Linked DNA regions of Arabidopsis thaliana. The protein of the gene in region 4 interacts with the protein of the main gene of each other region in a pairwise test. Each region holds a gene or a part of one and is shown on either strand. Other genes may lie near its edges.

Region 1 (8,266 bases), on a different chromosome or scaffold from region 4:
TTGTTGTTGTTAGGCCGTTTTGCATGAAATCCGAGTAAAGAGAGATAAATCAAGTCACTAAAAGTATAACGCCTGCGGTTATTGAAATATATTTATTTATTTTAAGCATTCATCATATATGCATGCATATACAAAGGAGTTTTCTTTAAGATGCCAATTTGCAATAGCCTTGCTTTGAACATTTCATGTTGCAATCAGTATCTACTTGGCAACGAACATCATTATTCATCACTTTAACCAAATTACAAACACAGTCGCATTGGTTGCTGCAATAACCTCCCTCTGGGCAATGCGCTTTACAATCACTATCATTCTTACAACATGGAGGTGGTGGTCCACGATAACCACCACTACCACCACCTGGACAACCGGTGCATCTTGGTTCATTCGGCATACATGAGTTTTGGTTGACAGAAGTTTCACTGTTTTGAATGCTAATTCCATTTTCTGCATATATTAATAAGAGATAAGAAACAAAAAAAAACATATTAATCAATGAAAAACTATGTAAATAAAAAATACTAAAAGCACAAAATGAAACTTTAAATATTTTTTGTTTACTTACGGGTTACGGCAAAAAGTAGAGAAACCAATAACAACAATTTTAAGGAAGCGATCTTCATTTTCAAAGTCGATGTTTTTTTCCTTCACTGGAGAAGTTTTTGGTTGTTTGGTAAATCTTGCAATGGTGAAGTTGAAGGTATTCTTCATCGATTTTTTTATTTTTATAGTCCAGTTTAGGCGATGGTTAGATACTATTTTTTTTAATATTTACACGTGGAAATTGAAGTATAATTGTTATTGGATTCTTTTGACTAACAACAAAGTTCTCATAAACATGGAAATCTAATTAAAGTTTTAATTAATACTAGATATGTTTACCAAATAAGAGTTGCAAAATTGGAAATAAAGGATTTTTTTCGATTTAAATGTCTATCTATATATTTCTTATCAGATTTAGTGGACTATGCTTTATATTAGATGATGATTGACCCACGCAAATTTTCTAAAATCATTAGTCCAAATGCTTATGTCTAAATAAGTATTGGATCAAAGAAAAATCAAAGATGATTTTATGCTTAAAAAAAAAACATAATTTAGTGACCAAAATACTATTGAATAGGAACAAAATCGAGATCTATCATTACATGTTGCTACAGGCACGGTGCCCTCTTTATAACTTTAAAACATTTTGAAAACAACAAAAGATTACACAGATTCAGAAACGAAATTAATTTGATCCATTATTTAAAACCTCTAAAACCTTGATCCATTTTAAGTAATAGACATCGACCCACTTAACCACTGAACCGTCTTATTGAGTAATTTAACCGGAAAATTTTACTGAACCAGAACCTTCCAATTGAAGAAGAGGCTTTAGTGAATCATCTTCGTCATCGATCATCAGATTCTTCAGATTCGCAAGTAAAAACTAAGAATCGACCAATCGTTTATTACACGAATACTTACTTATAAAGACAATATTAAATAAACCAGATATTTTTATTCCAATTAACCGTCCAAAATAAAAATAGATAGCCGTTTTATTTTAATTTCTCCCTATCCTACAAAGTGAAAGTCGCCAGTATCTCTTTGTACTCCCTCGCTATCTCGAAAGAGTCGTGGATGACTGCGTCGCTGCTTCTCCTGTACTCGAACTGAATGGTAGAGTGATCGACGACAATTAAGGTGACGAACCCAAAGTCCTTGTCGCCGAGCAGGCTCCAGCTGGACTGCATGCAAGAGAAATCATCTAGACTGGCTCCTCCACCTCCCGCAACAACATGAATAGTCCCGTTTAATGGCTCCTGCAAGGATGGTTGGATGGCGTGATCCCGAATACATACATACAGTTTTTCTCAAATAGTTGTGGCCAAAATCCAAATATGTACCATGTGTTTTCTCTGTTATGAACCTAGGTGATATTTGAGCACTAGCTACGATAATATTAGAACTAATTTGATAAGAAAATGGAATGTTTTTTTCTTAAATTTTTCTTAAGTTTTGCTTAAGTTTTGCTCAAGTTTTTCTTAAGTTAGAAAGAACTTTTGGGTTCGTCATTTCTTTTCTGAGAGGGAATTAAAAAGTCAAATTTGTTCTTGCTTTTTAGCTGCTGTTCAAATTCAGAATCTTGTCTTCTTCTCTCTCAATTTGTTCCATAGATCTAATCAGTTGAAATAATGAATCTGAATACTATATATATATATATATATATTCTAATATAATACAATGATGTTTGCATATACTTTTAAAAGACCCTGACAAGAAGAGAAACTAGTAACACATCAAACTTTAAAGAATTTGTAAAGAAATTTAAGACTCATTGCAGAGAAGAGAAGCACAAAACCTCGTAGTAAACCTTGATGAGGAAAAGACCTTGATAGGCGTAGAACACAGTAGAGGTGGATCGACATATTTAACTCTTGTAAGACAAATCGAAGCACTGTAGAAACAAAGAAAAAGGTGCAATGTAAAGCTTTTATCATATAAAATAACACAAAGCTTTACATCAAATCCGAGAACTGTTGGAGAAGCTTTGACATAAGCTTCTTCATTCACATCAAACAGTGTCCTATGAATTGCAACTCCTGACAAAGGTTGCTTTCGATGAGATTTTCCCTCTTGAATTGACACAAGAGTCACCAAAACATCAACAAGTTTCCCATTTCTCACAAGAAGATCATGAAAACAAATGTCTGAAGATGAAGATGAATGTGATACAACTGTGTTCTAGAGATAACTTGTAGGAAACAACATTTATAAAGTTGGTGACTGATGATCAAAACCTAGAAACATAGGCACAAAGCATATAAAGATATGGTGATCATTAGCATTAACATTCCTTTCACACACTTCCGTGACTTGTTGGTTTAAGTGTTTCTAAATCTAGAAATCCAATTGGGAGCCAAAAGAAGACTATGATGTGGACATGTGACCTGCGTTTGCCAAAAACGTACCTTTTACTAACCCAAAGTCCAATCACATTTGGGTCATTGGACTATTCAATTGCAATTGAAACCCAACACAAAGTCCAAAACACTCATAAAGTCTAAACATTTGAATAAGTGATTCTTTTCACTCGTAAGAAGCCAAAATTCGCCATGAGAGAAGAACAAGTCTCTGATTGCGGATCGATTACTCTTGAAGAATGGAATGGTTCTTCTTCCACTAAGCTATTCAAAACAGCAACCATCACTGCCTCCTCTTCTCTCTCTATCCAAAGGTTCTTCTTTATTCCTCTTTGAAATCAATCCAAATCTGATAGTTTCAGTGGATTCACAACAAAATTGAGAAACTTTCTTGGGTTTTCGTCTCCTGTGAGTGATTCATAGGTCTGCTAATCGCTTTAATCATGTGTGGAGACGAGTTCTTCAAGCATTTGTACCAGAGGCAAGTGTTTTCTCTCTTTTTCCCTTTAGAATCTGTCCTCCGGATTAGGGTTTGGCTGAATTGTACTTTGTCTAGTGCAGGGCTTTCCTGGCAGTGTAACTCCAGATTATGTAGGGTTTCAGTTATGGGACACATTACAGGTATGTGAGAATATGCTTGTATGCCTTATAGCTACTGTGAAATTTGAATTGTGACTCTCGGCTATGTTTGTTGCAGGGCCTCTCAACTTATACAAAGATGATGCTTTCCACTCAGGTGAGCTAAAGCTAAAGTTTTTGAGCTTCTGAGTTCTCTATTTTGGTCCAATTTGTCTGCTGCAGCATTTCTGATTTGGACTATTTTCAGGCTCTTTTGAGTGCAATTGGCGTTGGTGAGAAATCCGCAACTGTTATAGGTGCTACATTTCAGGTGAGTTTTTCCATTGCTTACATATAACATTTCACACTAGTTCTCTCAAGAACTATAAAGCGCAATGGAGAATAGTGATTCTATCTTGTGTATTATGCAGTGGTTTCTGAGGGATTTTACTGGGATGCTTGGAGGTATATTGTTCACATTTTATCAGGTGCCTATGTAGCAGATTCTTCCCAATCATAATACACATCGATTCTCTTCCCTTTTCTTTAAGATTTAGATTGGTTACGTTCTTATTTAATGGGAACTGTTCTGTTCTTCAGGGTTCCAACCTGGATAGCAATGCAAAAATGTGGCGCCTAGTTGCTGACCTTATGAATGATATTGGTATGTAAAAGTTAGTTGTCACATCACACTTGATACTAATTGCCTGTATTTGGTTCTCAGTTGAATGACTACAAGCTTTGTTGCTTTTATTGCAGGAATGCTAATGGACCTTCTTTCTCCTTTGTTTCCATCTGCCTTTATCGTTGTGGTTTGCTTAGGGAGCCTATCAAGATCATTTAGTGCGTATCATTTCTTGCATCAAACATTGAAGTTAAGACTTCGGTTTGGATTGATACATCGGTTTTTAACTTTTTTCAATCTTGGCTATTAGCTGGTGTTGCAAGTGGAGCAACCAGAGCAGCTCTAACACAGCACTTTGCTCTTCAAGACAATGCAGCGGATATATCTGCTAAGGTACTCTTTACTTCTTGTCACTGTGAATGATATAGAAACTATAAATGTGAACTTTGAGTAATTCTTTGCTTCTATTTTATCTATTGAAAGGAAGGAAGCCAAGAGACTATGGCAACTATGATGGGTATGTCATTGGGAATGTTGCTAGCTCGGTTTACCTCTGGAAACCCTATGGCTATTTGGCTTTCGTTTCTCTCTCTCACCGTGTTTCATATGTATGGTAAGTCACAAATGAAGGTTAAAGCATAGATCAAATCAGAATTTCTCTCACTGTTTGCCTTTCTTATATATTTAGCAAACTATAGAGCTGTCCGGTGTCTTGTATTGAATTCATTAAACTTTGAGAGGAGTTCAATTCTTCTAACACATTTCATTCAAACTGGCCAAGGTAATTTCGAAATGCGCCATTGATTCTTTCAAGTTTTCAGTGGCTTTCCTTTGTTTTTTATTGGTTTCTCTTTATTATTGCACCATATACCAATAACTTTCTTTAACTAAACGTGTTGCCAGTTCTCTCTCCCGAACAGGTTTCTTCAATGGAGGGTGTATTGCCCTTGTGGGCCACTTCATTGAGGTCAACGAATTCAAAGCCATTGCATAAGAGAGTGCAGTTAGGTGTGAGAGTTTCCTCTCTCCCTCGTCTAGATATGTAAGCTCTATACTAGATTATCATAATTTTCGGGTAAAGAATCGGCTCAAGCTTGACATATTTGTGTGCAGGTTGCAGCTGCTAAATGGTGTTGGAGCTTCTTCATACAAGAATGGTTTGATTGATTTATTTTTCCACAATCTTTCAAGGACATTAGTTTCTCTGTCCATACTTGACGTAAGCTCGGTTCTTGTCTGTTGTTGTACACTCCTGCAGCTAAGTATTTATTGGCTCACATAAAGGGAAATGTTAGTGTGATCTTGCACAAAGATTCAAAACCTGCAGATGTGTTGAAATCATATATTCATGCCATTGTTTTGGCAAACCTTATGGAAAAGAGCACATCTTTTTATTCAGAAGGAGAAGCTTGGATTGATAAACACTATGACGAATTGCTCCACAAGGTAAGATTAAATCACTAGGACCAGTTAAACCGTGTTTTTATGACACTAAAGCTACTGTTTTCACTCTTTTTCTTTCTGTTGTTTCCCATGTAGCTGAGATCAGGAGGTTGGAAAACAGAGCGTCTTCTTTCGCCTTCCATTACTTGGAGAGCTAATTGGATATCTCACACTTCCGCTGCTAAGTTCGACTGAGCTTTATCGCCTTTCAAGATCAAAATAGTTTGTTAACTCGTTGCAAACATACAAAAATATGTTAGTTCTAAGTCATGTAAAACATGTAACCGATACCGGTTTAACCGTAAAATGTCGGTTTAACATTGTATAACGTTTGTTATTAATGGAAAATTAAAGAATTATAATAATGGCAACCGTTTTATTTTTTTGGAAACGCAAAAATTGGAATCGGAACCGCTTCGAACGTATAAATACTTCAATTTTGTGATTCTCTTTCATTATCACTTCATGTTCATCGTTTAGCTCGTAGCTGAAGCTAATTCCACAACTCCGGCCAATAATTCCGCCGGCGAATGGAATCCACGGTGAGTATTTCGTTTATAGTCAGACACTTGTACCCTAGTTTTTGGAATTCGATTAATTTATTGTTTGTTAATGCTATTAGGTCATGCCTGGGTTTGATAGAATTAGCGAATTGCCGGAATCTTTGATTAGTCAAATACTGTTACACCTTCCGACTAAAGCTTCTGTGAAGACGAGTGTTTTATCGACTAGATGGAAGAATCTATGGCTTAATGTTCCCGGACTTGATTTGAACTGCCGTGATTTCCCCTTTCAGAACAACAACGAAAAACTGTTGATTGATTTCATTGACAGATTTCTCCAGTTTAACAATGAGTCACGTCTTCAAAAATTCAAGGTAGATTACAGTAGAGATAAGATCATTAAGTTCTCGGATCGGATTGGTGACGCGATTAGCCGCGGGATTCGAGTTTTAGATGTTGAGAGCAATACCTATTATCGAGATGCTGATGATTGCATTGACTATCCTTGTATCGAGTTCATGCCTCTGAATCTTTATTCGTGTAAGACATTGGTTTCTTTGAAGCTTTCGTATTCGGGTCTTGAGGATCCAGGGTTTGTCTATTTGCCTTGTCTCAAATTCATGCATCTTCGAGAAGTTCGATGGGATAGTAGTGGTACTATGAATCTGGAGAAGCTTGTTTCAGGTTGTCCTGTTCTTGAAGAACTGATTTATCTTCATGATGATAAATTGGTGGTTACGCGTGTGAGATCTCGAAGCTTGAAGAGGTTTTCTATTCCGTTTAGGCATAAACTTTCTTTGTTTAGGAGAGTGACACAGACATTTGAGATTGATGCTCCTGGACTAGAGTATATGAGTCTTAAAGCAGACCATTTCGATAGAATCGTGGTAAAGAACCTTACTTCTTTATTCATGATTGACCTTGATATCAAATTCATTGTCGGGTTTGGCTGGATGTTTGATCCGGAGGACTTACCAAAGAGAAATGAAATCCGTGATTTTCTCACCGGGATATCTAGTGTAAGACATATGGTCATCTCTCATAATACAGTGAAGGTATATATTTTTGTACAACAAATTTTGGTCTTTTTCTACTTGGGAAACTCTCACTAGCATCCATTTTTTCCTTTCCTTCTTGTTGCAGGCCCTTGATCTTTACTCAAAAGTAGGACTGATTCCCAAATTCAATAACTTATCCCGTGTAGAGGCTGCGTTCCCGAGCTCCTTGTTACAGTTTTTGCCAGCCTTTCTTGAGAGCTTCCCGAATCTGAAACACTTAATCTTGGTAAAAAAACTTAAATGATTTTGGCGTAACAACATTGTGGCTCTTGTGGATGTTTATAATTGAATACCTAGCTTTACTTTTGTTGGTGTTTTCAGGAAACTGAATGTCCAGTGGAGGTGATGGAGAAGTTTGAACTCGTAAATGTGCCTCGGTGTTTCGTATCGACTCTTGAACATGTTGAGATAAAAGGATTGTTTGACTGGGGGGAACAGGATATGAAAATAGCGAGTTACTTTCTCGAAAACTCAGCAGTCCTCAAGAAACTGATTCTGAGTTTCATGGGTTGTCCTCAACATTATTCGGAATCAGATATCTACGAGGAACTTAATAAACTCACAAAACGTTCTCCGAGATGTCAAATTATCATTAGATGCTGAATGAGGCCATGAGTATCATGTGTAGAAAGTCTGTTTTCTCATGAAACACTGATTTTTTAAAGATCATTTTGTTCTTCTTCTTAGTTTTGGTTGGATTCCTTGACCATAAAACTCGGTCATAGAACGAAAACATTGTTGTTTTTTTAATTTTTTCTTAATCTCAATCTCAGTTTCTTATGATCTATTGGATTCTCTGAAGAAAGTGATATTATTACACTGGACACTGGTAGTAGGAACATTGGACTAAAGGATCTACTCTCATCTGAAACTCTTTGCGCTTCCTCCTAGTATATTGAAAATTTCGGTTAACTCGGTAATGAAAAATCCAAACCAATCAAAGCTACTGTATAAACAAAATTTCAATTGAATTCCGGTTAAATTAATAATTTTGATTGGTTTAATTCGGTTTAAAATGAATTGAAGACGCCAATCGATCGTCGTCATCTTCACTCTTTCTTTCCAGTCACGGTTTACGCGTCTCTCTATCTCCCACCTGCGATTCTTCTCCATTATCTTTGCTAATTCAGAAGGTTTCGCTTCAGCTTCCTCATCTACATTCTTCGCTTG
Region 2 (6,368 bases), on a different chromosome or scaffold from region 4:
TTTGTATTTTCACATTAATGACGTGGCGTAAATCCAATGGTTGATCCTTTTTGGGTAAAATATGACAACCAATTAACCAGTCGATATTATTATTATTGTCCTTTTTCGAAAGCAATTCAATCAGATCATCAAATTAATGACATTCATCTACTTGCCTGCTAACTAATCGTGGAGTACTAATTTTACTATATCCAGATTAAACCATTAGATATTCGATGCACCATTTAATTTCTCGTTAACTAAGCAACTTCTATTCTGAATTTTTCGATACTCGTTTTTTTAATTGCCTGAGAGCTAAGAATCTTTGTTTTTCTCTCCAAACAACACCGGCACGTTAACAATTTTATAAGTACGTATTATGTTATTACTATGCTTGATCCAACACAATTTGCCCTAATTTAAAAAGAATTTATGTAAAGGTTGGAATCACGATTCGCGATAGCTAAATCTATACGATTAATTGATTGGATCACAGAATCATGACAAATAAGTACCGCTGGATTATCAGAGATGTGTCTGGTCTATCGTTTGCTTTATGGCATTAACCAATTTATAATACTAGTTTTAACAAGACAAAAGTATAATTAATTAGCAACTACTCAATAATAATTATATGTACGTGGTACGTGGAGTTTGCCAACTCAAACCAGAAGCAATGACATTAACGTAATTCATCTTTTCATTAATTATAATCTCCGGTGTATAAAGCAAGGCCTAGTTGAAAATGCATATACTGATAATATTGAAAATGTATATTATTAATATACTCCAAAGTTCTCCAACGTTGCGGTCTCATCAAATCATCAGCCTCACAAATGTTTTGTTCTTCTCTAAGTTTCCCAAAAAAAAAAAAAAGGGGATGAAGTTCGATTATAGTCTATGATTCACAGGTGTTCAAAAAAAGGACAGAAAAAAGTCTCATTAAACCCAAAAAAAAAAAAGATTATAGTTTATGATTTCTTATAAGTTATATATTAGTAAAAAAGAATTACAGGTGAGTAAATGATCAAACACAAAACAGTCCAGTGATCTTCCAAACTTGATGTTGTATTTGAGTTTTGTTAAATCATTACAGAGATGTCTATCATCGTAATCCTTCGCTTTGAGCTCCTACTTCAATTCTTCAAAAGTGCAAATGCCTTCATCATCTCTTGACATTTATTTTTATAAAAAGGCTTGAAGAAAAAGAGAAAAATATCACATGCCTAACAGGCCACAGTTTATAATTTTATTAGATTTAGGCCCACTTAAGGACAGCCCATGGTACTTTTGCCAACAGTTTAATTGGCTATCTCTATGATATATCTCTGGCTATCTCGTTGTTAAATGGTCAGTAGCTATTATCCATGAAATTTGTGTATCAACGGATAGTCACGAGTAAGTTATTTAGCAACTGTCGTTTAGCTATTTAGCTACGTACGAAACTAAAGTTTTAACTACGAAAATTTTCATCACTAAAATTGTATTTGTTTGTAGCATGAAATAGCTTTTTGTTTACCTAATCTAAACCAAAATTGAAAATATATATATGAAAAATAGAGTTAGTTAACATACAATGATACAATTTTAATCTAGGCGAACATGGGCTTCAGAACTAGATTCGGATATAATTAGCTAACATCATAATCTGAATTGTCATCTCTAAACGAGTTCTAAACAGTTTGATTTCATACTACACAGAAAAATAACCGTGTAGGTATATTTCTACATTGTCTTAGGGAGGATTTAAATAGCCTCGTGACGACTGGTTCCTAACACATAACATAACAACAAAACTTAATAAGACAGATACTAATGCACGGAATAGATGTGAACATCACATTTTTTGTCCCGTTTCTTGCCCAACGTAAGCCACATGCATATAAACACTAACAGAAAAAGAAAAAGAAAAAAGAGAAACGTACATACCAAGAGAGCTGTGAGATATGCTGATACGTTATAAAGTCACCCACATGGAAATGCCAATAATAACGCTCAATAAACCAAAACGTGACATATATTACACCACACCAAATACATACGGCCGAAAAACCCTAATATATGAAAATTATAATGCGTTATTTAATTACATTTTTTTTTCTTAATCGGAAGATCTAGAATTGAAACCTAAACTATGATCTTCGAACTTTTCAACTTCCATGTAAAGTCCTCATGCGTTCATCGGTAGTCCAGGATTTAACAAAGAGGACGATGATATCACTTAATTACAAATCACTTGTTCTACTGACCAGAACTCGATTTTACACAGATCCAAAACTAGACTTTTGATCAAGTTTTCTTCTTTCTTTACCGAAGAAGAAGAAATCGAGGTTGTAAAGTAGAGGAACCATCACGACCGAGCACAAAAACACAAGCACCGGTCCAAATATCCAAAGCATCAACGGCAAAGCCGCGTAGAACAACCGATTCCCCACAGTATTCAAAATAAACCCTCTCTCTAGCAACTCCGCCACGTACTCCTCCGCGGTCATCATCATCTCGTCCTCCAACTCCTCAGGAGGAAAAGGAGTGTTGATGAGGATGTTAACTTGGTTGATGAAACGAATTGAGAGAGAGTGAGAGAAGAAGGAGAAGAGGAATATGGTGAGTATCGTGACGTACTTGAGAGCCACCATGAACTCTCCGCGAGCTCCAAAAACAGCGTCGTTTAGAGGCTTCTTCACTGCATATGTGCTGCTTAAAACCGCAGCTAGACCAGCGCAGAGGAGGATCGATGTTGTTGCCATCAAAGTCGACCCCATTATGCAGTTTCTAAGCGTTTGAACGGCCAAGATGTTCTTCTTGTCGTTGTCCTAATTTAATCAAATACATAAAATTAAAATCATATATTTATGTGTGTGAAGATGTTTATATAAGAAAATTGAAGTTACCTTGATGATGGAAGCGACCCAGAATCGGCGAGCTCTAGCGTTAGTGCCGATGATAGTGGTGAGAGGCTGTGTTCGTAACTTATGCCACAAGTAAACATGGTAAGATGCATACACCATTAGCCCTAGCGGCACCAATATCACATCTAAATAACATTCTCTCCATTCCATTTCTATCTTCTAAACTTATCCAAGTTCTATCTTCTTTTTATGAAGCCGTTTTCTATATGACTTCTTGGAAGGTTTAAAGACCCTATTTATAAGAAAAATTATAATGAAACACTAACCAAATAATTTAAAATAATTGTTTTTTTTTAATTTTATTTTTTGATAATGAATCGGATAAAAAAAATTTGTTTTTTTGAGAAATGACATAAAGGTGGATGGAGAGGGATGACGTGGCATATATTTGTCCTTTTGTTCGCCATTGTTATTTCCAAAGTGATCTCTCTCTCTTTTTTTCTTCTTCTTTGTCAACAAGTGATCTCTAGTTGGAGCCCATATCATAGTATATATAATTCTTGCACGCTTTTGATTTCTGTCTTCTACCATTTCTTTTGCTTTCTTCTTCTAGTCATATATATTTGCTTTTTTAAAAGGCCTATGTTAATCATGTATCATGTTTATGTAGCCGTCAAGTAAAAGTTTATGGTATTCCAACAAAATAGATGTTGTGTGATTATGTTTTAATAGATGGATGTTTACAACTTATGTAAAATTCGTGACATTTTTATTGAATAAACTGCACTAGATTTATTCATTTTTAGTTATTGATAGTGTAGTGTAATAGATAGCAATTAATTTAGAAGATTAGCTATTCGTACTACTAAAAGTCTAAAACTATCCCCTTTTTTGTATACTACATAACTTGAATAAAATCTCAACACTTAAACTTTATCATCCTCCTTCAGTAGACTTTTTTTTTTTAATCATTTTATCAGATAGCTAATCATTTTCATTTCATTTTCTAGTAAAGTATTCTTCTAATTCTAGCTATGAACATATCTATTATGAATTTATGATCTAGATATTCTTGAAAGGATATCAACATGATGTATGTATCTATGTATACATTAATAACATATGCATCACGTTGAAACGTATTCATGTGACATACAATAAAATTTCGAAACAAATAGTCGGGCTTCTTTCCTAATACCTGGTGAATCCGACAGATAAATGTTGATAGACAACACTAATATATCTTCTTCTTCTTTTTTTTTTTTTTTTTTTTTTTTTTTTTTTTTGTCAAAAACACTAATATATCTTACAAATTAAATGATATTATATATACTATGGAAATGGAGCAATAAAAAATCTGCCAATAAGTAACTAGTAGTACTGCATAATTTCTCGAGGATACAAAATGAGTGAAATCTGACGAGGACCATATACAGATATTGTGGGTGATTATCATATATGAGATAAGACACAGACATGAGATGAGGCTGACCTTTAACCATCGCCGATTAGTTTCATGCATCCCTCTCATCATGACTAAGTTTAATTGGTTTTGGGTGTTTCATTCACTATCGTCCTTCACGTTGGAATTCTAGCTGTTACTTCCACAATTCACACTAACTTATCTCTTTTTGGTGTTTTTAAATCTTTTAAATATTACAATTTTGTGTGGAGTAAGCGCTACAAAGAGACGGTAATTAATAACATTTATAGAGCCCCAGAATATAGGGTTTTGGATTTATCTCAAAGTATAACTTTTGTTTTCTATCTAAATCAGATGTATATAGCAAATCACCAATATCAGGTGAAAAATTTAATACCTAATAACTTTTTTTTGTTGTAATTAAGAGATTCTAAGCCAAAATTCGTACATTTCTTTAGATTCGGATAAGCTTTTAAAACCTTTACTCGGACTAATGGACTATGGTACTTTTCCAATCGAGCAATCCCATATTTCATAAATTCAAATATTCACTGTATCTGTATGTTCATTTTTTATATATGATATTCAGATATCTTGAATCCTATATCTTAGATATATTTTAAGACAAGCACATTTAGGTATTTAAGTACTTTCGATCGAATGTTTGGTTATTCTTATTCCGTTGCATCATTACATGCATGAATGACCGATCCTCTTGAAAAATTCTTCCACTTTCCAAACGCAGAAAAAATGAATGGGCATATTTATTTCATTTATGACAGCATTGCAATGAACATTCTATTAAAACGAATGACATTATTCATCTAATAAATTGCATTTTTTTACAAAAACTACCAGTTAATTCTTAAATGAATAACAAGAATTGTTCCGGTTTAAATGAAAAGGGGCCAGTTTGTTTAGTCATTTTGATGAATTGGTTTAACTTTGGTTCTGTTTTATCCATGCTTGTGGTTATACTTACATGATTCTAATTATCTTGAAAGTATTTTAGCTGTAGAAATGGACTGATTTTTTGAATCTGTCATTGCTATATTTGACGAATCAAAATGAGAATAAAGTAAAAATAGAGATGCAATAATTGTTTAAGAGTGTCAAGCTTAATTTTGTTGTGACGTTCTTGGACGGGAAGTGCGGCTTGGTTCCTAATTTGAGTCCTTTGTAATTCAAACTTGATAGTGCTCCTTCTTTATATCCTCATTAGTTAGAACTAAAGGAAACTTCAAAAGCTAGATCAATCATCGAGGAATATATATATTGGGTTCTTTAATAATTTCAAAATGTATTATTTATAGAGCACTATAGTTTCTTGAATAGGCAAGTTGGCTGCGTTCTTGTTATTATTTGGACGTAGTTTTTTCATATCAATGTTTGTGATTGTTTTCACTAAAACTGTTTCATCATATCCTGTCAAATTGTGTGACGTGAATTTTATGCATCACATAATGAACAAGAAAAACTATTATCATGACATATATACGATCGGTGACACAAACGATATAATATTTTTGAAGGATGTATAAAAAAGTGATAAACAATACTGGAATAGTTAAAAGCGGTAAGAAAAAATCGCAAATATAAACTTATTACTTAAAATTTTACCAAAAAAAAATAAATCTTATTATAGACAATTTCACATATGTGATATATACAAGTATATATATATATATATTTTTTTTTTATAAAGAGACACATATTTAGAACACAAGGGTTAATTATAGCACATGTCTATGATTAATCATATATAGTAGCATAAGATGTTTGTCTTTAATGCGTACGTGTCAGATTTATAGATATGTAGCATAAAATCGTGAATAAATAAATCTGAAGATTTGCTTACTAAGCTAAACTAAACGATGTGTCGTTGTATACCTTTTTTTAGATACTTGTCCCTCACTAGACAAATTCCTTTGCTGCCTCGTCCCATAAGCAATGTGCTCCTAAGTATCTTTATATACCAACGAAGTGATTGGATTATACATTCGGTTCATATCTATTCTGAGAGGACTAGAGTTTGTTTTTTAGAGTGTGCTTATCTTAAAGATCATCAAATACGCAAATACTATGCATTCCAGCAGGAAAAAAAAAACGAATTGACT
Region 3 (7,323 bases), on a different chromosome or scaffold from region 4:
AACAATAACAACAAAAAAGTTACAAACTTTGCAATCTATCTCAAGTCAAAGTACTAAATCCGAAATGGGTTTATGATAAGCTTACACAACCGCCTTCATGTCCGTGTACTTGGCCGTCTTCTTGATAGTGAAGATAAGCTTGACCTCAGTGTCTGTCACAACTAGAATAAGCGCGAGGAGAGCGAAGACACTGATGGAGCACCGTAAGAGCAGCTCCGTTAACCTCATTCTTCGATCTATTAACTTCATCTTGCTTCTGTATCCTCCAGGACAGATTTCGGCCCCCAAAATAAACTCACTTGTACTCTTAAAAATCCGATTTTGGACAAGACAAGAAGACAGGTTCCGTAGAGAGACTAAAGAGAAATAGTGTCCACACTCGGCTTAAGGCTTTAAATAGAGAGTTCCATGCTTTTACTTCACATCGCTTGGGTCCTTAGGCTTTTATTGAAAAATATCACCAAAATTGAAACTGTGTTAACGAATAAGTTTGCTACTAGTTTTGTGTAAATTAAGGCTGGACAAATTAGTTTCTAGATTCAACTAGTTACTAAAAGACCAACATATGAAGTGAAGTGTTATTAGTTATTGTTATCATTTTTACTATTATTACCACCGTCTTCATTTTTCACTTTTTACTATTTGAAGGAAAAAACAATAGATGAATTCACTGAATAGTTCATAATGAAAATACTTTTTTTTTTTCGTTTCTTAAAAACTTATGGTTTTTTTCGTTTTTAGTCTTTTAGAGGAGAAAATTGGATATTTGAAACTTTTCTAGGAATTCAACTTTCTCTTAAGTAAAAGTGTAAAACGGATCACATAATTTAGATATCCTACAAATACGGATACTTATTTCTTACATGAAATTTATAGTAAACCAATTATATCTTCACAATGATCTCATTTTGTCGTGACTTCTTGTTTTAGAGTAAACTTTTAATATGCTATTGAATTAGGGGTGATAGAGAGACACAGAAACATAGTCCCTAAATCTGCCAAGTGGTAGAAAAGTTCTTGTAGACGTTACTACGTATATTATTATGAGATGCATTGAATTGAAATGTGCATGGGTTCTGATCACAAACCCAAAACACAACATTTTTCTAACATCCCCCCTCCCTTAAAGACGAAAGTGAGATATCACAATGACCTTTAGGATTAATTAAATTACAATGCTCCATATTTGTCTTTTAATGTTCTAGGAAAATGGAGAGAAGAAGAAGAAGAAGAAGAGAAGATTGTTATCTATCCCGAGGAGATTATTAAATTATTAAGATGGGACTTTGGATGCCCACATACACAACTATTTAATGAACCTTCTTCTTATTTATTGCACTTCCCATCTCCCAATTAGCCCCTCTAACCAAACCCTTTTCTTTGGTTCTGTCTTATTAACTCTTACTAATAGGCTTAACCAAATCCAATCAAGTTCTTTGATTTAGAAAGACAAGTGTAGATGATGTGACACGTGCACGTTCCTTTCAAACCAAACAAGATACTATGATTTAAATTGTTTTCCTTAATTAAGTAATGTGGTGGTTGGAAGTGGATATTATAATGCCCTCGAATTAATTGCTAAAAAGATTCTCCCATTAAACTTTAGTGCCTTCACCAAGCTACCCACTTTTAATAATAGTAAGTATTTTTATTTCTCTCTTCCATTTTCGGTGATATAATGCTACATCTTAATGAACCACATGCATTGGCATCGTGTTGAATAAGTACACGCGTCTTTAGAATCTGATTTTACAAAGTCGGTGTTACAAGATAAAAATTGACAACACGTAGAGGAATAGAGACAATGTGTTTGTTATGGTGTATATATACACATTGGGTAAATATTGGGGCTGCTTCTACGGTAACAACCTGCTCAACTCTCAAAAACGAACTACTTGTTATTGGTAAAATCCAACAAACAACCAGAGAAAAAGAGTCATATAAATATACATTGTTAAGGAAGATTAGGAACAAAAAGAGAAGCACAATTTCTGCCACAAGTGTCTCCTAAAAGGCTACAACTTTGAACTCAAAAACCATCCAATCTTCACTCTTTTCAGGGATGCGATTTAGAACTCCACGAACCTACACACATATTTGCTCACTCTGTTTGAGAGTATGAGCCACGGTATGATCCCGACCTGCATTTTTACCCAACCAACACTCTCAATCAAGAACAAGCCCAAATAAATGGATTGAGAAGAAGGAACTTACCATTACATGGCCTGTCATGTGACCTCCTGTTCCCCAAGATAACAAAGTCCCTGTGAAACACACCACATTCATTTTTTTCCTATGTGTTATATACCATAAGCGAGCTTTAACCTGGTAAAAGTAAACTACTCACCAAACGGTTGAACAAGTTGCTTAGCGATAATGGCAATTGGAGTCCTCCAGAAGCACAATACCAAGATTAGGTATATCACAACCTAGAAACAAAGTTCTTAGCACATCTCGATTAAGGAGTTTTAGACGGAAAAAAAGAAGAAGCTTGAGCACACAAACTAAGCTACCTTCGAAGCAAGCAGACCCTTCCCATACATATCGTATGAAAGCTTGATTTCTTTGTGATGCTGCTCCAGATCTAAAATTTCAAAATGAGAATTAACAAATACACACACACACCAATACTACACCATGATGATGCAGTGCTTTAGTAGGAATATCTGCTACCAGATAGTATTCATGTTTAAAGCTAACTAACTGTTGCATCATATTTCTGAATTTCATGAACTCTACACTCACAAAGCAATCAATCATATTTCTGAATTTCATGATCTCTACACTCACTAAGCAATCAATCATATTTCTGAATTTCATGAACTCTACGCTCACTAAGCAATCAATGTAGAACTAATAATGTATGCATACTCACATTGTGCAAGTTCTTTCTCTTTAGTAGCTGCTGACCTCCTAAGTTTCGCTGCTTGCGCAAATGTGGCTGGCCTGCAAGTAAACAATAGATAAATCTCTAATCAACAACACTCATATATATATTTTTCAACAACTGCACCTTCCTTAACTCAAATCACTAGAACCAAAACAAAATGTGACAACAAAATGGCTTACTGAGACAATGCACTAGCCTCTCTCAAAAGCTGCTTAATTTCGGTTCGCAGCTCTGATTCCCTCGTGTTCTTCGACCCTTTCTGAAGAAATTCCATAATTCAAAACGATGATTCATGTGGATATGAAAAAAAGCCAAAAAGTATTATCTTTTTTACCTTCTTCAATTGGTCAAGCCACTTGGATAGCAATTGGAAGACAACGACGACGACGAAGGTCAGAGGAGCAGCCAAAAAGCCGCGATCTTCTATAAGCTTCTCTCCTTCCATTAACCCTTTTGCTGATTACTGATTCTAACGTAATTCACCAATCTGCTCGAACAATTCATAACTCAGTACCATTCAGATCAACAAAATAAAAGCCTTAATTGAATCCATCATGTTCTGGATAAACATATCATCTAATCAATGGAGGAGGAAAAGATTCTAGTGCATATAGAATGAGATCGTCGTGAGTATGATCGGAACTTACAATCTCCGTCGTGGATTCACAGAAATTTGAAGCCTTCAAGCCGAGGTTAACGTCTGAAATTGAACGAACGATGGGAATTTAGAATTGGCCTGAATCTGTAAAAGAGGAGGGTTCTGATTTTGATAAAACAAAAGTTTCTACTCGTTTCGTGAAATAAATAAAACTCAAGCCCTTATGTGTAAACAACAATAACTAAACCCTTTTTCAACAGGCTCTATTGGGCTTCGTTGAAATAAAGAAACGGCCCATTAAATTAAAACTAAACCGCTTGTTTATTTTCTTTAAAATTTCATTAAGCTTGGGTATACATGAGTACATGTGAAAAGAAACAACAACTAGGCTACAAGTTTCAGTCAACAGTAAAAGTATCCAAATTTAGAATGAATAGGATAAAAATAGATATAAATAGTAGAGATGTAGTAAAACTACAAAATGGAGGGTAAGAAATTAGAAATGTGAAAATTTAACAAACATAATGTATTCTTTTTACGTGGAGTGGTTGTAATGGTTTTACCAGAAATGGCACGCGTTGTCTCTAATCTTTCTCAACTAATCTAAAGACACTATATGTTTTGTCTCATCCGATCCCACTTAATTATGTTAATCATCTATCTAATTGGGGTTATCACCAAATCAGAGCATTATCGATAACATCGCAGATACCGAAGCTGAAAAAAGGAAGAAAAACAATGTAAGTCCAAATCCTAAACGTCGTAGCATCTTCAGCTTTCGTGTATGCATGCCATTATATTCCAATTACTTGACGACAAACTTTTGCTCCCACCACTTTTGATGTGCCTTTCAAACTTTGTATCCCCATTGTCCACTTCCTCTTTCTTTCAACCCGCTCCGTTTTGTAGCTATACTGTCTCACTTTTTTTCGTTGTTAGAGGTGTAACAATAAATTTACCAATTTAATCTAATATATCATTTCATTTGTAATGATATCAACATTCTTATCTAATATCAACAATCAAGAGTGATACATTATAAAGGCATTTGACATTTGTATATATTGGTGAATATATGTGAGATAAGTTTTGTACCTTGTGGACCAATTAATGTGGGGAGTTTGCAGAATCCGACTATGAAGTGAAACTCAAAATGCACACATGTGGTTTAGAATTGTATCAGAAAATTTTACATTATATGGGTGTTAAGAATTATATGTACTGCAATTATTATATATATCAAACACAACTAATATCTATTATATAAGATTATCACGATAGGAAATATATAAGTTTGCATCGGCTTTGCATTGAACACATATATTAATTGATACGTATATAGTATTCTACTTTTTTATAAATTAATCTTTTCGATCCCTAAATTAGTAAAAATATGATAATGTACATGCATGGATGTTTTCATTATGGGAAGGGAGCGTAGAGTAGCATTTTGATCGAGAGAAAACGAGGAGATCGAGAGAGAATGTCTTGTGTAAAAATGAGTGGTCTTTTTCACAATTATTTATCAATCAAAACACATCTCATACATATATGTTGATATCATTATTCCCTAGTCTATTGAACTCCATTTGTCTTTTTATCAATAGATAGGCCCACTTTTTATATACTTTTTCCTCCTTGCCAAATCATAAGAAGTTAAAACTTAAAAGTGGATCAACTAATTTATAGAAACCATTAACAACTTTTGACACTCTTCTTTAATGTGTGTTTCATTTTTAATTGAATGCCAATAATATAACTTTAAATTCCACTGAGAAGATTTGACGTAGAGACAAAGAAGTGGCTCCAATTCACCATCTCCCAAGCCACCAAAATCTCTCCTAAACCCTTTTGTCACTCCCTTTTCTCATATTCACTTTTTTTCCAAGGAATATTTAAAACCTCATGCAAGTTTTCTTGAATATAACAACATACGAATATGATCTTTGATTAGATTACTCTTTTATATATTATGGTTAGGCATGTCCTTGCAAGATTTTTGTATTTAACATATTGAAAATTTATCATTGAATTACAACTCTGTTATGCATACAATCAAATCAAACGTTTAAGAAGACCATCCCTTATATATATTTATATACACCCTATATTCTCGGGATGTAATAAAGTTTCCATTTCAAATAAAAAGAGCCCTTAAAGGGAGGTAAGTGGGGGGCATGAAAAAAGGGTTTATATATCTCAATAATCATCCAAACAAACCAATCCATGTGCTTCCCTTCAAACATTCTTCTTGTCATTTTCCTCCCAACCATTTTCTACTTTGGCCAACTTTTTTTCTTTTGCTTCTTAAAAATAAAAATAAAAATATGCAAATTTCCACTCACACATTATACATTCTCTTTTTACAATCCTTAGATTGTCACTTTTGCCTTCTTCCTCTTGTTCTCTTACCACTTTACTCCTGATTCTCTTCCTTTCGGAATTTCATCGAACTACTCAACAACCCTATATACTTTTATTGTTTTTAAAGTATTCTCATGCAGATTAAATAATAAGAAATAATATACACCTTTTTCCTCCTTATATAAATAGGCTCAACACACGTAACATGGCCCCAAACCCTAGCAAGACTCTCTCTAAGACTCATATCATTACGTCATGAGTTCAATAGCAAGAGACCGAAAGGAACAAATGGTGATCCATTCTTCAATCGTCTTGCTTCAAGAAAGATTCAGACAACTTCAGAGAGCAAGAGAGTTAAGAGCTGAACGAGAGCTCCTAAACCCTAAACCTAACCACCAAGACAACATCTTGCAATATTACAGCGAACCCACTAGTTTCGGTTTCTTTCAGTTTCTACCTATAAACTCTCAAACATCTTCGTCACAGCAGCTCCTATCCCTCTCCTTATGCTCACACTCCACCTCTGAATCCATTGAAAAGCCAAGCTTTTGTCATCAGTGGCCAAATAAAGATGACAAGAAGATGGGTGGGATTGATCGATACGACGATGTTGACACGTCTCTGCATCTCTAAAACTAAAATAATTGTTCCTCCATCTTTTTGAAGTTCTAATTAAATATGTATGTATATAGAGTTTGTTTTCGTCGGTATGCTCTTCTAAAGAGTCTTCTAGGTGGTGGTGATATATGTATGGTTAAAATGGCAATCATATATATTAATTATTTCGAAGTTAATGATTATGATATATTTTATATCACGATGATAAAGATCGATCTACTCATTGATTTATTGGTTATTCTTTTGTTGATGGTTAATTGGTTACTATATCATTCCTCAAGTCTTTGCTTATACGTATCCATGTAATGTTTAGCTTTTTATATATACGTAACTACTTCTACCTCAACTTCACCAACGAAGGCATGGTAAATAACTAAAGATGTCGGAGTGGTTAAGAAGACAGACTTGAAATTTGATTTCAGTTGGGCTCCGCTTGCGCATGTTGAAAACTCTGCTTTTGCAGCTTTGCTTCTTATTGTTTTTGACGATTTTTCTTAAAGATAGTAAATAATTGATCATACAAGTCGTGCCAAAAAATCGTCAATCAAAGTTCAAAACCTACTTGCATCGTATTTGATTCAGTACTCTTATATATGTGTCAGTAATAATTGAGATAGAGAAAGATAGAACTAAAATGTCGACACTCAATCATAGATAGATTTTTAAGAGAATAAAACTCGAGTACTATTCAATACTATATCGTGCATGTTGTTAGATCTGCTATTTTCGATCGTTTGGAGCTTGATTGACTTAAATGGGCTCATTCGGGTCTGTTATGAGAAAGCCCAACCAAGAAAGTTTATGGGTCAAAGAGAAAAGCCTCTAGACGAAAGAGAGGATCTCAGCTTCTGTT
Region 4 (10,097 bases):
TCTTTGGCCGCGAGCACATAAGAACATGACTCTGATATGCAAAGAGGTAAAAGGCTGACTCAAAACTCTTTGGTAATGTGATTCGCATTGAGTATTGATTTATGAACAAACCAAAAAGCTCTGTTTGTATACTAATGTTCATTCGGATTCTCGAAACTATGGAACGATCTTTGATAGTTTATCAGTTGTTTGTAAGTTTCAAGAATTTCTGAAAAGTGAACAAACAGATTCTATCATTCTTGTTTTGATATTGTATTTTCAAATTTTGTAATGGCGGACTGCTTTTTTTTGGTCAAAAGATAAGCTTAGTCATCAACAAGTGGACATGGCTAGAAAGTGAAACAAGAGACGAGGTCATTCATACGCATTCATTAGACAGTAGCAGCAAGAAACTTTTGGAAAACAAATGTTTTAGGAACTGTAAGCACATGAGCAAACCACTCAACGTTTCCCCAAATTCCACTATTTTTGCGCCTTTCAAGCGTAATCACCGCACACCAAATCATCTTCTTACCGCCTCTGTCACCAGTCCCACTATAAGGCATATTCTGCTCCCACAAAACCGCCATCTTTCCACCATATTCAGCCAATCTAACACAAGCATGAAGAGAGAACCTAGGTAGTCCTACCAAACCCTCCAATTTCTCCGCCGTCTTAGCTCAGTGTCATACCATCTTTTGGAGCACTACACATTCATTGAGTACATATGCGCACTACAAGAAAACATCATGAATTCCTATTTACAAGGAACGGTTTGATAATGAACCTTATTTATGAACAACCAAAACATCATGAAACACTCTTGATAATTATGAGTTGTTTGTAGGGTTTTATAAATTTCTGAAAAAGTGAACAGATTCTATAATCAACCAGTGGCATTAAATGATTAGAAGTGAAACAATAGAAAGAGTTATACATCATGGTTGCATGCATATACACCACACACATTCATCAAATGGTAGCAACAAGAACATTTTCGAAAACATATGTTAGAGGGACTGTAAGCACATGATCAAACCACTCAACTTTTCCCCAAATTTCACGTTTTTTGCGCCTTTCAAGCGTAATCACTGCACACCAGAGCATCTTATTAGACCCACTATAAGTCATATTCTCCTTCCACAAAACCGCCATCTTTCCACCAAAATTAGCTAATCTAGGACAAGCAAGAATAATAGGTAGTTGTTCTACCAAACCCTCCAACTTTCTCCACCGTCCTAGCTCAGTGTCATACCATCTGAAAACAGTGCCACGCCATGTTTTTTCGACAGAGTACAAAACGTTCTCTATCTCACAATAATCATATGAAGACTTATAACTACACATCTCTGATTCAACAAGGTCCCATATACCTTTCTTGGGATTGTAAGAAACCACCTTTCTCTTAGCCCCTACATACCACTTTTCGTCAATACATAAGCTTTTGGAGTAAATGTTGTGTTTTGTTTCGTTGTAAGGGATAGGTACATGATCCCAAACTTGTGTTTTTGTGTCGAACACCTCGAAAGTGTTCTTCAAGTTAAGAGAATCTCCATCTTTGCAACTTCCGGCTACATATATCTTTCCGTCAAGGACGCCAGCAGAAACTTCAACTAGCTCCACTGGCAAGCTTGGAGCCTCGCGCCACGTGTGAGACCGGCAATCAAAAATCGAGACACTAGAGTAAGGTGATATGGATCTGCCAATGTTGTAGATATTAGAACCAACCGCCACGAGACTGGAACGTTGCACAAGACGAGGATGTGGAATTGATACTGTAGCCAAAACATACCCACTTGACTTCTTCTTATTACTTGTTTCAGAAGATAGGGCTTGATCAGGTTTCAAGCAGAGAGTAAACCAGCTAGGGCTCTCAAAAGGATTTAAGTATAAGCATACATATAGACAACCCTCGGTGCGGTTCAAGAGTGACCGTTCCTTGTAAAGCTCCGGTGAAGCTAGGAGAGATCGAAAGCTCTTGGAGACAAAGGAGAGAATCGGATAATACAATCTTGAGACTCGTGCGATGCAGCTTATTATCAAAGCATCGGGAAGTGACGGATTTGAGTTCGATTCCGGCGCTGGCGAAAACTTTTCCGGGGACGACATTGGATGAGTTTAAGAGACGAAAATGGCTGTTGAACTTGGAGAAAACAAATTTAGGGTTGGACTTTATATATAGAGGGATTAAAACCGGTTAATGCCTTTGGTTAAGGGGAGAACCGGTTATTTGTTTTGTATGTTTTGTTTGGTTAAGCATTGAGTAGTGAGTTGTTGATAGCTTCATTTATGAACAACCAAAAAGGCTCTATTTGTATGCTAATAATGATCACTCGAAATCTCTAGGTATGAAACGATCCTTATAGTTGTGAGATGTGAGTTAGTTTTAAGAATTTATGTATGTATTCTATATTTCTTATTATGATATTGTATATTCAGTTTTTGTAATGTCGGATTTCTTTTATGGTAAAGAATTATGCTTATCAATCAATAAGTGACATAAATTAATTAGAAGTGAAACAAGGGACAAAATCATAGTTTCAAGGCTCGTAACGCATTCATCAAAGAGTAGCAGCAAGAACCTTGACGAATTCATATTGTCTAGGGACTGTAAGCACATGAGCAAACCATTCAACTTTTCCCCATATTTCCAAACTTCCGCGTCTTTCAAGCGCAATCTCCGCACACCAAATCATCTTCTTTCGGCGCCCAGGCAAATAGTCGTCCCACAAAACTGCCATCTTCCCACCATAATCAACCATTCTAAGACAAGCATCAATAGGGAACTTAGGTAATCCTACCATACCCTTCAAGTCTCTCCACTCTCTTTCCTCACTGTGATACCACCATACGGACGTTGAGATATCTCCTTTTACAATAGTGTACCAAACATTCCCTATATTGCGATAACAATCATATAAATACTTATTATGTTCTATGCTTGGTGTAACCAGGTCCCATCTACCTTCCTTGGAATTGTAAGCATCCACACCTTTGTAGCTCACCAGGTGCAATTTTCCGTCAAACCTTACGATTTTGTAGTGAAAGTCGTGTTTTGTCTCGCTGCAAGGGACAGACAAAGGATCCCAAGTTTGTGTATTTGTGTCAAACACTTGGAACGTCATGGAGTCGCCATCTTTGCATCTTCCTGATACATATATCTTTTCATCAAGAACGCAAGCAGTACATGACATTAGCTTCACCCGCAACCTAGGGCCCTCGTGCCACGTGTTAGACGTGCAATACAGAATCTAGACGCTAGAGGAAGGCAATTCATATCCGCCAATGTTGTAGATACTAGAACAAACCGACACAATGCTCGAAGAAGATGACTCAAGAGGAGTATGTGGAAATGGGACTGTAGCCAAAACATACCCACTTGACTTTAGGGTTCCAGTATGTTTACGGAAAAGAGTAAACCACCTCGGTTTCTCATCTTAAGGATTTAACTTTAAGCACACATAGAGACAACTCTCCGTGCGGTCCAAGAGTGATCGGGTCTTGTAAAGCTCCGGTGAAGCTATGAGAGATCGAAAGCTCTTGGAGACGAGGGAGAGAGCCGGATAATACAATCTTGAGACCCGTGCGACGCAGCTCAATATCAAATCATCGGGAAGTGACGGATTAGGGTTCGTTTGCGACTGCATCGTGTACCGCTTCTTCTCCAACTTTGCAGAGAACTTCAAGGATCGGTCTTTATAAAGAAATTTCCAAAACCGGCTCACGTCTTTGCTTAAGGAAAAACCGGTTCAACTTTCCATAGTCAATAGAATCCGAACCGCCAATTGATTTTGATTGTTGACCGGGTTTAGTAGACCGAATTTAGAATAGGTGAACCGTGGCCAGAATTTTGGCGGCCGATACACTTCTTTACCTCAGCCTCACATTACTACTCTCACAAAAGATACACAGAGAGAGAAGAGAAGAGGAAGAAAATGGGATCTATAACGGTAGCTCCGGGAACCACCGTCTTATTCTCCAGTCGGCGGCTAGATCTTTGCGGTCGTCGCCATGAGAATCTATCCGTCGTTTCGTCCTCACAACCGTCTCTGATGCCAAAGCAGAGATGGCTTTATATTCCCGAGACGAGGTTGAAAAGAGAGGTTTTAAAGCTCGATGTCGTCGGAAGAGCTGCTGATTCCACGAGCTCTTCTCCATCAGTAGCTTCCGGTGATAGAACCTTAATTCCTGATGATGAATTCACTTTAGCCAAGGTTTTAAATCCCTAATTAAAGAGTTTCTTCAAATTCATTGTGTTTATATAATTAACTATTCCTGAATCAGTCATTGCCTTGTCCAATTTTGTGAACTGTGTGAGATTTATGGTAAAAGTATAGTGTCTCTCCAAGTAGGTAGATTCGATTATTAGTGGTCTGAAATTGAGAATTAGGAAGGATTTGATGTATGCAACTCATAGTTTATAGGTGGTATTGAATGTGCGTTGGAATAATTTTGGACACTGAAATTTTTTCCATATGTTTTGCATTGCAGATTTCATTTGGTGTTATTGGGCTAGGTCTCGGGGTTTCGCTACTCTCGTGAGTTTTCTCTTGCCTTCTTTGTTGCTATGGGTATATGTGAGGTTTAGCATTATGGATCTGTTTAACAGGTATGGTTTTGGGGCCTATTTTACTATCCTTCCTGGAACTGAGTGGTCTGCTATAATGCTAACATATGGATTTCCCCTTTCTATTATCGGAATGGCTCTTAAGGTATGCTCTTTATGCTCTTTAGTTATCTTTCTCACTATCATGTCCTTGAGAAAGTGGAATGTTTCGGATAACTGTAAAATTACTGAGAAAATTGACTTTTGTATTAGAGTTACTCATTTCTTTCTTTGAGTTTTCGGAATGGTTAATTGTTTTAGTCCCTGAGGATGGGTTTTGCTTCCTTTGCAGTACGCAGAACTCAAACCAGTTCCTTGCTTGAGCTATTCGGATGCGGTGAAGCTTAGAGAAAGCTGTGCTACTCCTATTTTAACGCAGGTACGTAGTGGTTCTGGTTACTCTCGACTGACCGGAGTACCTTCAATCTGATTTTAGTTGTTCTTCAGCTCGTCTTTGTTACATTAATTTCCTAAAACATATTTATGTTTCTGATAAGAGGAAGGGGTGTTAGTAGTTTTCGTCATTAGTATTTCGAAATTCAATCTAAACACTAGCTTGATTTCAGTATCATAGGTTCTTTTGCAGAAAGTCTTGCTCAGTTTAGTTTCCCTATATGACATCACATCGTAGTTTTGTCAGTGCACATAGGATTTTAAATTTACTTCTCGTGAATTGTTAATGTGCCTTCTTCTTTCTTTTATTAGGTTAGAAATGATGTCACGAGATACCGTTATGGAGATGAACAACATTTGGAAGAAGCACTAAAACGAATCTTTCAATATGGGCTGGTAAGCTATTTTGTTGAAACAAAATGAAGCACGAAAACAAAATGAAGCACAACACACGCTTCTTGTACTTCCGCTTTAACCTCTCTTTCTTTCGACTGTTTTGGTCATAAGGGAGGAGGAATCCCGAGACGTAGTGCACCTATCTTACAGCTGATAAGGGAAGAGGTACATTTCTTCACGCGCATGACTTTACATCATATTATTTACATGAATCATCAAAATATATAACTCAATTTTTACTTGCATATGACATGGATATTGACTGGTGAAACTAAACTTAAACGGATCATTTTTGATAACTCATCATGTCTGTAGGTCCTGACCGATGGTCGGTACTGTGTGGTCCTTGTATTTGAGGCCAAAGCTCTGACGTTGTCAGATTTTGAAAAAAGACAGGTAAGAGTTAGATTCATATACTACTAACAAATCAGCTTGGCGCATAAGAAAATAGCTTAAGTAGCGTTGGTTTTATCAAATCTAGTTTTTAAGAAGTAGCAAAACATAAAGCTGGAACTAAGCATAAAAATTTTGTTTTGATAGGCGAAATTCACTTCCTTCTTTGGACCAAACATCACGGCAGAAGTCGGTAAGTAGTGAATCAATTCTCCATTCATGTTTATGAATTTCTTGTTCTCGGTTCTTAAAAAATTATTATTGTTGTTTTGCTTTGAAGGTAAAGGAGAAAGTGAGAATCTCTATGAAGTAAGACTGATTTCCAACCTCTCCACCAACTCTGTATCTTCTACCTCTTGAACATAGACAATCATGTATACGGCGACGTTTTCAGTCAATGTTATTTTGGTCTTGTAAATCAATTCTATATAATTATCCTATGTATAAAAAGTTCATACTATTTACAGAAATGGGAATTGGAACTAGCCTTGTCGAATGGTAATACGGTCGGAAGGGGACAAGCTACGATTGCAACGTGTTCTAGAGTAATTTTGATTTGAGTAAACAAAATACATATACTGTATATTATTCATATCTTGGTGAACAATACAAAATATATTAGTTTGTTTTAAATTACCAAACTAAAGCCTTAAAAAAAGTATCAAATTAAGCACATAAGTTAGAAAAGAAAAATGTGTTGTAAGAAAGAAAAAAGGTTAGGAAAGAAATATGCGACAGAAAAAAGAGTTTTATGGGCTTACAAATAAGAAAAGCCCAAATGGGCCTTGAGTTTGAGCTTTACATAAAATTCATTCTACTAAACTTAAGCAAAATCATTCCTTCTTCTTTCTCTGAAACTTTTGCCTTGCTTGCTTGCCCAGAAAGTCGCCGAGAAAGTTAAAAGTAGAACGGCGGAGGAAAAAAAAACGAAGAGGAAGAGGAGAGATGGAGTCGCAGAAGAAGATAGCTCATGAGATCGGAGGTATGAAGAACGATGCTCTTCGCTTTGGTCTTCACGGCGTTAAGAGCGATATCCTTAGATCTCATCCTCTCGAAACGGCTTACGAATCTGTAATCAATCACTTCACAATCTTTTTTTTTTTTTTTATTGATATTGAGGAATTAGAAAATTAGGCTAATTAAGGAACTTAGGGTGTTGATGAATAAGCTTCGTGTTGATTCAGAAATTTGAGAATTGGGATTTTTTGACGGGGTTTCTGAAATTAGTTTTTTTTTTTCCTTTCTATAAACTTGTTTATTGTGATTTCAGGGGAAGCAATCACAAGAAGAAATGAAGAGGAGAGTGATCACGCATACTTATGGAGCTGCTCTTCCTTTGAAGATGGATCTTGATAGACAAATCCTTTCTCGGTATGGATCTTTAAATCTGTAGCATATGAAATTCTGAATTACACTGATTATTAGGTATGAGAATGTATGAGAATCTTCCTTAGGCTTTATAGAATACTGTTAAGATTGAAATATGGTTTCCTAATGCTAGTAATCTATCTTGATTAGGTCAATTGCTGTTCTGAATTTTGAAATATTGTTAGTACAAATGTGTATATGAATCATCATAATGATTATATCGAAAATTCGGAATCATAATCGTGTAGTGCTACTTAGAATTAGATTTGCAGAACCATAAACGCGTAGTGGATACTCTTAAATTAGTAGCAATATGTAGATTGAATTCAGAACCATAAACGCATAGAGCAGCCTCTTCTTCATTGAATATTTATTGGTGAATTGAATATTTATTGTATATCTTTTTATGTGGAGTATTCAGGTTTCAGAGACCTCCTGGACCAATTCCTTCATCAATGCTTGGCCTTGAAGTCTACACAGGAGCTCTAGATAATTTTGGTTTTGAGGATTACTTGAATGGTAATTGTTTTACACCAGTTTTCCCATTTGGTTGTGCATTAGAGTTTTCTATTCCTACAATCTTTGAGCATTTCTCAAAACATGACCGTCACATACTGCTTGCATTGTGTAACCAAATCATCCTCATCCTTGCATAGAGTTTAACTCTTTGTTTAGCATATAATAGAAAAGTGTCTCAACTTGTTTATTTCGTTTCGCTTACTAGTCTCTACTTTGTAGATTGTTCCACTCCAAAACACCAATAGACAGTGACAAACCTTTGTTCCAGTTAGACTGTCACAAATCATCGAGCATTGCTCAAAAATTGACTGTCACATACTACTTACTTACATTGTGTAACCAAAGTTGAACTTTTGGTTCAGTATATAAGAGAAAAATGTTTAAACTTTTTAATTCTCTTAGTTTCACAATTTATATTGTTCTGACGATGAATGGTGTATAATCTACAGATCCTCGCGAATCCGAGACGCTGAAACCAGTAGACTTTCACCACGGGATGGAAGTTCGGCTTGGTCTCTCCAAAGGCCCAGCTTCCCCAAGTTTCATGTAGTCACCACCATCAAAGTATTTCCTTCGTCAGGTCTCATATGCTTTTTAATCTGAGTAAGATCATGTTATGAATTTCCACCAGCCCTAAAAGAATCTACTTGTTGTTTGATCTCTTCTCTATACTGTGTCTCCTTTGCTCTGAACATGATAAAACATATGAACTGTGTTTCAGTTCTTATCTCTCTCAGTTCACAATTTGTTGGACTTGCTTAGTTATTTAAATAAGATTATGCTCCTATTTCATTATTATGTTACTGACACCAAAACCTTGGATACTAGATTCTATTAGAATAAATAAATTGCATATGGATTAATACTCTAAACAAAACAAAAACAAAAGAACAAAGTAAGATTGTTTTAGTGACTCGGACTGGACTGTTAACATCGGATAAATCTGAAAAAGTAAATAAATAAAAATAAAAACCCTATTCTACGTTTTATTCGTCTGGGAAAACAAAAATTAAATTCGATCCCCAAAATTAATAATTCCGTCTTCACCGAGAAAAAATCCAGAGCTTCTTCTCCTCCGACGCGATGGAGTCTCGTCGGAACCCTCGCGCCGTAGTAGATCCAAAGGTCCGACAAGTCGGTTTCTTCACATCATCTCAACCCGATTCATCAACTCAACAACAACAACCCGACCCGATCGCTGCTACCTCTGCTTCTTCTTCTTCTTCCACCATTTCTCCTTCCGGTAACTCACTCTCCCCCGTCATGATTCCTCCTCCTCGTCTCAATTCCTCTGATACTTTCCCTCTTCGAGTCGCTGTCGCTGGTGCTGCTGCGTCAGCCGTGTCTCCTTCTTCGTTTTCTTACTCAAGTCGCCGTGATTTCCCTGATGGATCAACGACGGCGTCTCCTGGACGCCATTCCAGGGGTAGTTTCGTAAAATCATCTGTTCCTGTTGCTTCTTCGCTGCCTGGTATTGGGATGGATTCTATGGCTGCTGCTAAATCTAGTAGTGTTCCTGCTAGTGGTTTAACCACTGTCTCCGTCGTTACCATGCCTCCTGGACTTTCTGGTACTCTCACTTTTGATCTTGTGGAATCATAATTTGATTGATTTTGAAATTTGTTCTTTAGGATATATGAGGCTAATGTATTCACAATGTTATATAATTGCAGAGAAGGCTAGTGGAATGGAGGTGCAGAGTGACCAGAAGAAGCCATTGAAAGAGAAAACCACTAAAGCTGAGAGACGAGCTATTCAAGAAGCTCAAAGAGCTGCTAAAGCTGCTGCAAAAGGTGCATTTTTGATTTAAACCAATGTGTGGTTTTATCGCAATGAATGATTCGTCAGCTTAGTACAGAGATTTGATATGCTGGTTGCTCTGTTGTGTTATCGTTGTGTATTTTGCAATATCTTAATCAGTCTGTGTAATACTGTGCTATATCAGCTGATGGTGGGAAGGTGGCACCAGTGTCCTCAGCCTCGGTGGCTTCAACAAGTGTTAAAGCTGCTAAACCAGCGAAGGCTACATCTCAGAAGAATGATGTTGCTGTTGCTACTGGAGCAGCTGAGAAGAAGGGAGGTCCATCTGAAAAAGATAGAAAGAAAGATGCTCCTCATCCCCGCATGCAGTATGATGATGAGAGTAGAGTCGTGAAGGCTAAAAGACGTGCTGTTGTAAAACAGACCGAGGCTAAAAACAGGGTTGAGCTATTTAGGCATTTGCCTCAGTATGAGCATGGCACTCAACTTCCTGATCTCGAGACTAAGTTCTTCCAACTTGACCCTATGCATCCTGCTGTGTACAAGGTATTTGTTTTCTCTTGAATTTATCTGGTTGGTGCTTCTAATAAACTATTAATAATCTCTTTGTTAAAACAAGGAACCGTTTGTTCTAATGAGTGGTTTATATTGCTTCATTAAGATGAATGTTACTTGTATACTG

Evidence for each region.
Region 1: the proteins of APE1 (region 4) and RUS3 interact in a protein complementation assay, tested with the Arabidopsis thaliana proteins (one large-scale study listed by BioGRID).
Region 2: the proteins of APE1 (region 4) and AT4G31330 interact in a protein complementation assay, tested with the Arabidopsis thaliana proteins (one large-scale study listed by BioGRID).
Region 3: the proteins of APE1 (region 4) and AT4G16444 interact in a protein complementation assay, tested with the Arabidopsis thaliana proteins (one large-scale study listed by BioGRID).

The regions. Positions count from the first base shown.
Region 1 is NC_003070.9:4,718,616-4,726,881, forward strand, and holds RUS3 (root UVB sensitive protein (Protein of unknown function, DUF647)), read left to right. Parts: upstream 1-2,958; 5' UTR 2,959-3,101; coding exon 3,102-3,223; exon of another isoform or gene 3,224-3,332; coding exon 3,333-3,390; intron 3,391-3,470; coding exon 3,471-3,530; intron 3,531-3,606; coding exon 3,607-3,645; intron 3,646-3,735; coding exon 3,736-3,798; intron 3,799-3,898; coding exon 3,899-3,955; intron 3,956-4,067; coding exon 4,068-4,131; intron 4,132-4,226; coding exon 4,227-4,310; intron 4,311-4,402; coding exon 4,403-4,485; intron 4,486-4,575; coding exon 4,576-4,705; intron 4,706-4,780; coding exon 4,781-4,873; intron 4,874-4,995; coding exon 4,996-5,134; intron 5,135-5,205; coding exon 5,206-5,249; coding exon of another isoform or gene 5,250-5,350; coding exon 5,351-5,538; intron 5,539-5,631; coding exon 5,632-5,730; 3' UTR 5,731-5,900; downstream 5,901-8,266. Other genes in the region: AT1G13755 (Defensin-like (DEFL) family protein), read right to left, coding at 146-447, 566-623; AT1G13760 (uncharacterized protein), read right to left, coding at 1,750-1,808, 2,348-2,486; AT1G13780 (F-box/RNI-like/FBD-like domains-containing protein), read left to right, coding at 6,066-6,077, 6,158-7,093, 7,182-7,322, 7,418-7,699.
Region 2 is NC_003075.7:15,199,024-15,205,391, reverse strand, and holds AT4G31330 (transmembrane protein, putative (Protein of unknown function, DUF599)), read right to left. Parts: upstream 3,105-6,368; 5' UTR 3,039-3,104; coding exon 2,871-3,038; intron 2,793-2,870; coding exon 2,241-2,792; 3' UTR 1,830-2,240; downstream 1-1,829.
Region 3 is NC_003075.7:9,272,722-9,280,044, forward strand, and holds AT4G16444 (tail-anchored protein insertion receptor WRB-like protein), read right to left. Parts: upstream 3,727-7,323; 5' UTR 3,538-3,726; intron 3,378-3,537; 5' UTR 3,336-3,377; coding exon 3,225-3,335; intron 3,150-3,224; coding exon 3,070-3,149; intron 2,947-3,069; coding exon 2,876-2,946; intron 2,585-2,875; coding exon 2,514-2,584; intron 2,430-2,513; coding exon 2,348-2,429; intron 2,265-2,347; coding exon 2,215-2,264; intron 2,142-2,214; coding exon 2,070-2,141; 3' UTR 1,717-2,069; downstream 1-1,716. Other genes in the region: AT4G16442 (Uncharacterized protein family (UPF0497)), read right to left, coding at 86-249; AT4G16447 (uncharacterized protein), read left to right, coding at 6,108-6,485.
Region 4 is NC_003076.8:15,469,315-15,479,411, reverse strand, and holds APE1 (acclimation of photosynthesis to environment), read left to right. Parts: upstream 1-3,826; 5' UTR 3,827-3,914; coding exon 3,915-4,193; intron 4,194-4,470; coding exon 4,471-4,517; intron 4,518-4,588; coding exon 4,589-4,691; intron 4,692-4,877; coding exon 4,878-4,964; intron 4,965-5,290; coding exon 5,291-5,374; intron 5,375-5,485; coding exon 5,486-5,539; intron 5,540-5,689; coding exon 5,690-5,770; intron 5,771-5,914; coding exon 5,915-5,956; coding exon of another isoform or gene 5,957-5,960; intron 5,961-6,047; coding exon 6,048-6,076; coding exon of another isoform or gene 6,077-6,127; exon of another isoform or gene 6,128-6,303; intron 6,304-6,596; exon of another isoform or gene 6,597-6,648; coding exon 6,649-6,838; intron 6,839-7,037; coding exon 7,038-7,138; intron 7,139-7,556; coding exon 7,557-7,654; intron 7,655-8,103; coding exon 8,104-8,204; 3' UTR 8,205-8,512; downstream 8,513-10,097. Other genes in the region: AT5G38680 (Galactose oxidase/kelch repeat superfamily protein), read right to left, coding at 372-548, 1,192-2,088; AT5G38670 (Galactose oxidase/kelch repeat superfamily protein), read right to left, coding at 2,541-3,230, 3,441-3,626; AT5G38650 (Proteasome maturation factor UMP1), read left to right, coding at 6,713-6,838, 7,038-7,138, 7,557-7,654, 8,104-8,204; AT5G38640 (NagB/RpiA/CoA transferase-like superfamily protein), read left to right, coding at 8,738-9,224, 9,328-9,447, 9,600-9,961.